Oryctolagus cuniculus: one gene and its partner. The protein of the gene in region 1 binds, or shares a complex with, the protein of each later gene. Links are inferred from orthologs where the notes say so. Each region holds a gene or a part of one and is shown in the gene's direction. Other genes may lie near its edges. The genes, in order: ARVCF and PA2G4.

What was found.
Region 2: ARVCF (region 1) and PA2G4 share a complex: the UniProt entries of both Homo sapiens proteins name them as parts of the ribonucleoprotein complex. The link is inferred for Oryctolagus cuniculus from reciprocal best matches to the Homo sapiens genes ARVCF and PA2G4.

Annotation. Positions count from the first base shown.
Region 1 is NC_091452.1:27,677,414-27,681,739, reverse strand, and holds the start of ARVCF (splicing regulator ARVCF), read left to right. Parts: upstream 1-1,485; 5' UTR 1,486-1,488; coding exon 1,489-1,594; intron 1,595-1,910; coding exon 1,911-2,125; intron 2,126-4,326. UniProt on the Homo sapiens protein: Contributes to the regulation of alternative splicing of pre-mRNAs.
Region 2 is NC_091442.1:58,907,548-58,911,352, forward strand, and holds part of PA2G4 (proliferation-associated protein 2G4), read left to right. Parts: coding exon 1-69; intron 70-303; coding exon 304-396; intron 397-2,192; exon of another isoform or gene 2,193-2,962; intron 2,963-3,805. UniProt on the Homo sapiens protein: May play a role in a ERBB3-regulated signal transduction pathway. Seems be involved in growth regulation. Acts a corepressor of the androgen receptor (AR) and is regulated by the ERBB3 ligand neuregulin-1/heregulin (HRG).

The DNA of each region.
Region 1 (4,326 bases):
CGCGTGTCCCTGCCTGCCCCCCCCCCACGCCAAGCCCCTAACCACAGACAGCATCTCTGATGCTCCGCCATCTGTCTTAAAAATTCATGCACACATTTTGTTTTCCATGACACCCCCCGTATTTATTGTTTTAATATAGAAATTGCATTTTGAGTTATCGCGGAGAAGCCGCCTCCCGGTGCTGGACCAGGGCCCCTGTGTCCAAGCACGTGCTCCTGTGTGTGTTGTCCGAAGGCAGACAGCACAGGCCTGGCACTCGGGCCTCTGTGGTCCCATGGGTGCTGCCGGGACTCCACCGCCTGCCAAGCTGGCCAGCGTTGGAGGCACGTGGTTATCTCCCTCTGGGTGAACCAAATCAGGCAATGGGAAAGCCAGGGTTTGGCCATCTTCTCACACTGGCCGCTGGCCTCAGAATTCTGGGCCCCCAGCCAGAGTCAGCAGGGGTCTCCTTCCAGGGGAGGTTGGCACTTCCGTGGACCCCAGGGCAGGGAAGCTGCCCCCAGGCCATGCAGGTGAAGGCTGGGCTCGGGCAGCATACAAGGAGGGAAGAAAGTCACCCCATCCACCAGGCCAGCACCACCTGCCACTGCTGGTGGCGGGGGGGGGGGCGGTGTCCTGATCCTATTCCTTTCTGTCCCTTGGTCTTGAGACTCAGTGAGATGTCCATTGCTGCCACCAGGCTTGGCTGAGGGCTCAGGTGGCCTGGCTCCTGCCCTCTTCCAGTCCCCAAACCCCCAACTCACCTGCCTAAGAGGCCCCACCATGCCCACCTGGGGCCCATGGCCAGGTTCATTGCATTAGTTGGCATTAGCTAGTTTGTACACCCAGGCCGCATGTCCCCTGCTGTCTGTCCCTGTGTGCCTTGGCAGTCTGTCTCTCCCACGTCTCTCCCACTCTCCGACCCAGTTCCATTTCCTGGGTGGTGGCCGCCACCTCTCCCAACAGGAGTTTGGTTCTTTGGCTGTGACAGCTCCTCTTCTCATAGCAGTGTCCCTGCAAGGTCACGGGGACAGTTTTGTTTTTGTGACAGGGGCAGGGGAAAGGCGGAGCAGCCGCAGGGGCCTGTGCTGGGCCTCAGTTTCCCCAGCTGTCACAGCAGTATGGTGTCCCTCCCTTCACCCCTGGGGTACGCGCTGGCCCTGACCCTTCCTCCTGGGGTGGGGTGGGAGGCTCTGGCCTGGCAGCTGGCACTGCAGCTCATTGGTTCTCCACAGTGTCCCCACTACACAGTGGGGCTCGGAGTCTTCCTCAGTGGGCGGACATGGAGCACCGAGCCGTGCATACCAGTCTCCAGGCAGTGAGTCCGGATCTGAGCTCTGCCTACTTGCAGGCCTGACCCGAGACAGGGCTGGGGTGGCTCCTGAGATCAGGGTGAGCAGGGCTGGCGCTGTGGCACAGCAGGTTAAAACCCTGGCCTGCAGTGCTGACATCCCTTATGGATGCCGGTTCGAGTCCCGGCCGCTCCACTTCCGATCCAGCTCCCTGCTAATGTGCCTGAGAAAGCAGTGGAAGATGGCCCAAGTCCTTGGGCCCCTGCACCCACTTGGAAGATCTGGAAGAAGTTCCTGGCTCCTGGCAGAAGAAGGCCTGAGAGGTAGTGAGTGCTCATTACGCCAGCCCCCTCCCTTCCCAGTGAGCCGCCCCTCCCCCAATCCTCTGGTTCTGTGGGCCTGGCAGGAAGTAGGGGAGCCTGGGATGAGCCTGGAGCCCTGCAGGGAGTGAGCGGACTGCTTCTGGCCTCGGATTAATGGCTTTTAATTCAGAATTTAATCAATGCGGCTTCCTTCCAGAGGGAGCGATTCTCGTGACGTGCGCTCCGGGCGCCTGGGTGGGCAGGCAGGGGGCCCGTGGTGGGCCCCCATGAGGCCACCACCCACCCCGCCCTGAGCATGCTCTGCTTCTGCCTGCAGCTAGTGCAACCCCAGCCATGGAGGACTACAGCGTGCACTCGGCCGCCAGCATCCTGGCCTCGGTGAAGGAGCAGGAGGCCCGCTTCGAGCGGCTGACGCGGGCGCTGGAGCAGGAGCGGCGCCACGTGGCTCTGCAGCTGGAGCGTGCCCAGCAGCCCGGCGTGGGCCACAGTGGGCAGGCCCTGCCGATGGCCTGGCAACAGCTGGTCCTGCAGGTAACAGCCCAGTGACTCGGGAGGAGGGGGAGAAAAACACTCCAGGGGTCTCAGTAGACCGAGGGCTAGCACACAGTAGGGGTTCTTGCAAGCCCTCCTGAGGTGCTGGGAAGGGGAGAGAGGAGCACCGTGTGAAGAGCGAGTGGGACAAAGCCAGACCCCCAGAATAGGACCCTCCACTGAGGAGCCCCTGGGCCTCGACAGCTGGGCAGGGTATTTGCTGGGTAACTCCTTGGTCAGCCACAACACAGAGGACTTTTGCCTGCCCCAGGATCTCCGGGCCAACAATGTTGTTCTAACCTGCGAATGGGGTGACAGCAGCTCCCCCGTCCCCAGCGCAGGGGTGAGGGACGACAAGCTGTGCAGGGGGAGGCCTGGAGCTGGGTGTGGCTCCTGTGACTGATCAGAGCCAGGGGGTGGCAGCCAGGAGAGGGGGAGGGCCCTCTGGTTCCCACTGCAGCCCCCCACCCCCGCCAGCCAGCTCAGAGGTGAGAAAAGGGAAGTGCCTCTGGGGTTCCCTGGGGGACCTGCCCAGTTCCCACAGCCTGGCTGCCCCGCCTCTTCCCACATCACCCAGCACCTGCCGTGTCCTCCCGGCCCGGTCCTGGGTGCACATGTGAGACTCCAAGCAGCGGCCTCGTTGGGCTTGGGGGTGGGGGGTGCCTGGGCAATGACCGGGGGACCTCGGCTCCCTGATGGCCCATGGAGGAGACCCACTTAAAGCACAGGGCCCAGCACAGGGATGTAGGCGGAGCCAAGTGGGCATCTCAGATTCCCGGCGCCATAGGGGAGCCCTCTTTCCAAACACCTCGCAGCCACCCCTGCGCGCAGCCCCAGCCTCAGTTCTTGGGAGGGTACGTCTTGTTCCACCCAAGGAGGGAAGTGGAATAGTCCCACTAGGCCACATGGGGATAGTGACCCTGAGGCCGCCTGCTGGGCGCCAGGCACACAGTCCAGGCCTCCGGGAGTGGGAACAGGCTCTGCTCTCCAGCACAGGGACGGGCAGTGTGGGAGGTCGGTGCCCTGGTGGAAGGGACAGATGTTCCCACAGCCTGGAGCTGCTCTGCCGGGGGGTCACTGTCCCTTGCCCCCCCCCCCCATCTCGGCCCTCAATCTTCTCAGCCTGGGATGGGAGGACGTGCGTGTTCCCAGGGCCACACCAGGCTGGCCAGGCCCGGAAGCCAAACCTGCCTCCCAGATCAGCCTCAGCCCTGGGGGCCTGGTGCTCTGCTGCAGAGCCACAGGGTCAGAGCCAGGGGCATGAGAAGCTCGGGGCCTTCGGCAGAATCCTGGCCGCCTGCCCAGGCCCTCCAGCTGGTGCAGGACTGACCTCACCCAGTGGGCAGGGGTCCACCAGGGGCCCTGGGGGATGAACAGTTTGTGGGGAAGCTGGGGAGAAGACAGGACCGGCTCCAAGCCTCTGGGCGTGGTTCCCTCCTGCTCAGAGTGACCTGGATGGCTCCACGAGGGGCTGCCGTAAGACGTCTGCAGGCTCAGATGGGCACCCAGGGCTCCTGGGCACGAAACCAGGCCCGCAGAAGGGGGTCCCTGAGGAGGGGAAGCAGGTGGGAGGCAAGATCCATGCCACAGGCTGTAGCTGCTGATCCCAGAAACTGTTTCCTTGTTGGTGACACCAGGGCCATGGGTGGCCCCAGCCCTACCTGCGTTCCCCCAAACAGAGCCAGACTCCCTGGGTGTGGTGCCGGTGGATGCCAGGCTGCAGGGGGCAGCAGTCCTGACTGGTCTCTCTGATCAGCCCCCATTCCTGCCCCCAGCAGGAGGAGACAGGGTCTGGGGCTGGCTCAGAGATGTGCCTCATCTAGGGCCACCTAGTAGCTGTCTGTGCTCTCCTCGGCCCTTGCGCCCCGCCCTGGGTTTGATGCGCTGTGAGGTTGGGGGGAACCTCCTGGCGCTGGGTGGGGACTAGGGCCAGATCCGAGAGAACTTGCAGAGCTGACCGCCGTCCCCATGGCCCACCCAGGAGGGCCGCCATCGCACAGCGAGGGGAAACAGGCGCAGCCGGGGTGGAGTGCCTTGTGCCTGCGGAATGACCTTGTCCCTCGTCCTTGGGGCACACCTCAGTTTCCCCAAGTCTGCGGGCAGAGGGGGCGTGCGTGCTGCTTCACCAGGAGCAAACCGGGGGCCGGGAGGCTCGCTCAGCAAAAGCGACCGCTAGGCGGGAAAAGGCCACCCCCGCCGCG
Region 2 (3,805 bases), on another chromosome or scaffold:
GACCTTGGGGTCCATGTGGATGGCTTTATCGCGAATGTGGCTCACACTTTCGTGGTCGGTGTAGCTCAGGTAGGTGGCCTACTTTTGAACTCTGTTCCAGCTGGGGTTCGTTTGCAGGGGGCGAGAGTATGTGTGCACTGCAGTTGCCTCAGCCCTATCCCCTACCACCATGTTTGGGGAGAGTCTACAGAATTCTCTAGAGAAACACTTTTTCTTTAATGTTCATTGGCTTGGGTGCACAAATATTACCCACATGGTGGGCTGAGTTAGCCAGCTTCTCTGAATGGGTTTCCTTATCCACAGGGGACCCAAGTGACAGGGCGGAAAGCAGATGTCATTAAGGCAGCTCACCTTTGTGCTGAGGCTGCCCTGCGCCTGGTCAAACCTGGAAATCAGGTAAGCTGTTTTATCCAGCCCTAAAGAGAGAACCCGAGATGCGTTAGGTACCTGTAGCCACTCTGGACAGAACTGCCAACTTCCCCCACACCCCCTATTTAAAAACTAGCCTTTTAAAATAAGCTGTGTCTTAGGATGGGAATTCTTGTAGAGAAGAGGCAGGAACTAAGCGCTTGACACTCAACAGCAGACAGATCTGTGCTAGGTGCACAGAGTGATGGTTTCTTCCTTAACTGCACGTAGAGATCCTTCTTTTCTTTGTTCATGGTATTTACCTTATTCATTTGAAAGGCACACAAACACTGTTCACTGGTTACTCCCCACGTGCCTGCAATAGCTGGGGCTGGGCCAGGCCAAAATTGGAAGCTGGGAATTCAGTCTTGGGTGATAAGGACCCTGAGACCTGAGCCAGCACCTGCTGCCTTGCCTCCCAGGGTGCACATTAGTAGGAAGGGAGTCAGGACTTGAATCCAAGCTCTCTGAAATGAGATGCGGGTGTCTCATGCAGCATCTTAACTATTAAACCAAATGCTTGCCCCTCTTTTCATGTTTTGTATGTGCATCTGTCCCCAAAATAACTTGAGCTAAGTACCTTACAAACTCAGTTTTAAAGCCTTTATAAAACAAAAGTCAGAAAAAGGATAGGGTGCTGGTGCTGTGGTATAGTGGGTTAAGCCTCTGCCTACAGCACCAGCGTCCCATATCTGCTCCATTTGAGACCTGGCTGCTCCACTTCCAATCCAGCTCCCTGCTAATGTGCCTAGGAAAGCAGTGGAAGATGGCCCAAGTCCTGGGCCCCTGCACCCATGTGGGAGACCTGGAAGAAGCTCCTGGCTCCTGGCTTCAGATTGGCCTGGCTCTAGCCATCTCAGCCATTTGGGGAGTGAACCAGCAGATAGAAGCTTGCCGTCTCTGCCTCTTTCTCCCTGCTCTGTAACATTGCCTTTCAAGTAAAAAAAAAAAAAAAATGGGGCCGGTGTCGCGGCTCACTTGGCTAATCCTCCACCTTGTGGTGCCGGCACACTGGGTTCTAGTCCTGGTCGGGGCGCCGGATTCTGTCCCGGTTGCCCCTCTTCCAGGCCAGCTCTCTGCTGTGGCCAGGGAATGCAGTGGAGGATGTCCCAAGTGCTTGGGCCTTGCACCCCATGGGAGACCAGGATAAGTACCTGGCTCCTGCCTTTGGCTCAGCGCGGTGCGCCAGCCGCGGCGGCCATTGGAGGGTGAACCAACTGCAAAGGAAGACCTTTCTTTCTGTCTCTCTCTCTCACTGTCCACTCTGCCTGTCCAAAAAAAAAAAAAATCAAGTAAAAAAAAAGAATAAATCTTAAAAAAAAAAAAGATAGGAATGAGATGACGATACCAGTGGGCTGGTCCAGAGTTAGCGCTGACTCTGCATGACAATTAGGAAGCCCAGAAGTCCTAAGGTTCTCATAGACTAACAGAATTATACACTTTAGATCGTCAGTGGACACAATTCTCTAAATTTAAATTTCCAGAGGCCCATTCAGTATTTAAAGCATCTTTTTTCTCCTTTTCTGTGTTCTTCCATGCTTCACACTTTTAATTTAGACTTTATTCCTATTACCACTTTTTTAATGCAAAAATATCCATATACATTTATTCATAGGTCTTAATACCACAAAACATAAATGAAAACTGAGAACATTGCTTATTCAGCCAGGAGCTTTGAAATTATTTAATTTGAAATATAAATTGGAGTTTCTCCAGAAAATATATCTGCATGGAATTCACTTTATCATTGATGCTTTAGGAGTACATTTTACAGACAGCAGTAATCAGGCTTCTTGCGTGTTTAAATGGAAATGAACTTGATAAGCATAAAGAAATAACTTTTCTTTTATGTAGCAGCAAAAAGAGTCTCCAAGAAAGAGACTGTTTTCATTTCCTTCCAACTTGGATTCACCATAAACACAATCCACAAATGATAATGGAACTTCAGCAACAGTATAATTCAGCTGTCTTGCCCAAACAGTCATCTCCATCTGGAAGATATGGCCTTTAGAAACACATTTTTCTATTAATTTTTGTAGAACTTCTTTTCATTATAATCTGAAACTTCCTGTTAGATAAGACAGATGCTCCTGGTCTCAGTAAAATCTGAGTAATAAAGTTGCCCCCATGGCTGATCATTTTTCTTTTCAAATATACCTCTCTTTCCTTTGTAGTGAATTCCAGACACAATATCAGAATTTCCTTCCTTTCGCTTCCTGATGAATTCAGGAATAAATTTTGGATAGTGTGAAAGATCAGCATCCATTATGATGGTGTCATTTCCTATCGCATGTTCCATTCCATGAATGTATGCAGTTCCTAGTCCCAACTTCTCTTGAGACCTCAGAAGAATTTTGTCTGGCCCATAGATCTTCTCCAGCAGTTCAGCCACATCTCTCGTTCCATCTGGGCTCCCATCATCTATGATTGTAATTTCTTAGTTCATTCCACTCTTGGAGAAGCAGCCACACAATGAGTGGCGAGTTCTCATGCTCATCGTAGGTGGCAAGAGTACAGAATACTTGCTCTGCTCTTGCCAAGATCTGGGGAGCATCCGACTCCCTTCCACAGGCCACGGTGGAACCCCTGTCACCACTTAATTGCATTATTTTTATTTAATCCTCTTAGTTTCTTTACAGTGATACCTATTCCATAAAGTTGTTACACAGCCTTTTGGACAGGGCCTCAGGCATCCTAAACACCTGAGTGCTCTGTTACCTCACATGTTTAGTTTTATTATGATTACTGTCCATCTTACAGGAAAGTAGTTGCTTAGTGGCTAGCATGTAGCTATGAAATCAGTCTGGGTCCATACCATATTGCCAACTCTTACTATTTTAGAAGTTAATTCAAATTTTCTCATCTGTAAAATGGGAAAAATAAAATTGTGCCTTCTTTCAGGATTCAAATAATTGAGATGATCCATATAAAGTGCTTCTCACAGGACCTGGCACATAAATATTCAATAAATATTAGCTATGATTAATTACTCATTTGACTTAGAGTTAGTAGCTTAGATGAGGATCAGATTGTACCACAAAGGAAAATTAAGGGTGTGCTCTCTCCCCTCAACAGGTGAAACACCAGGTATAAAGGAGTAAACACTGACTTTACATTAGAAACCTAGACTTCATATTTTTCCACTTAATACTTTTTAAAAATTTTTTTATTTTATTTATTTATTTTTGACAGGCAAAGTTAGACAGTGAGAGAGAGACAGAGAAAGGTCTTCCTTTTTTCATTGGTTCACCCCCCAAGTGGATGCTACAGCTGGCGCGCTGCGCTGATCCGAAGCCAGGAGCCAGGTGCTTCCTCCTGGTCTCCCATGCAGGTGCAGGGCCCAAGGACTTGGGCCATCCTCCACTGTCCTCCCGGGTTACAGCAGAGAGCTAGACTG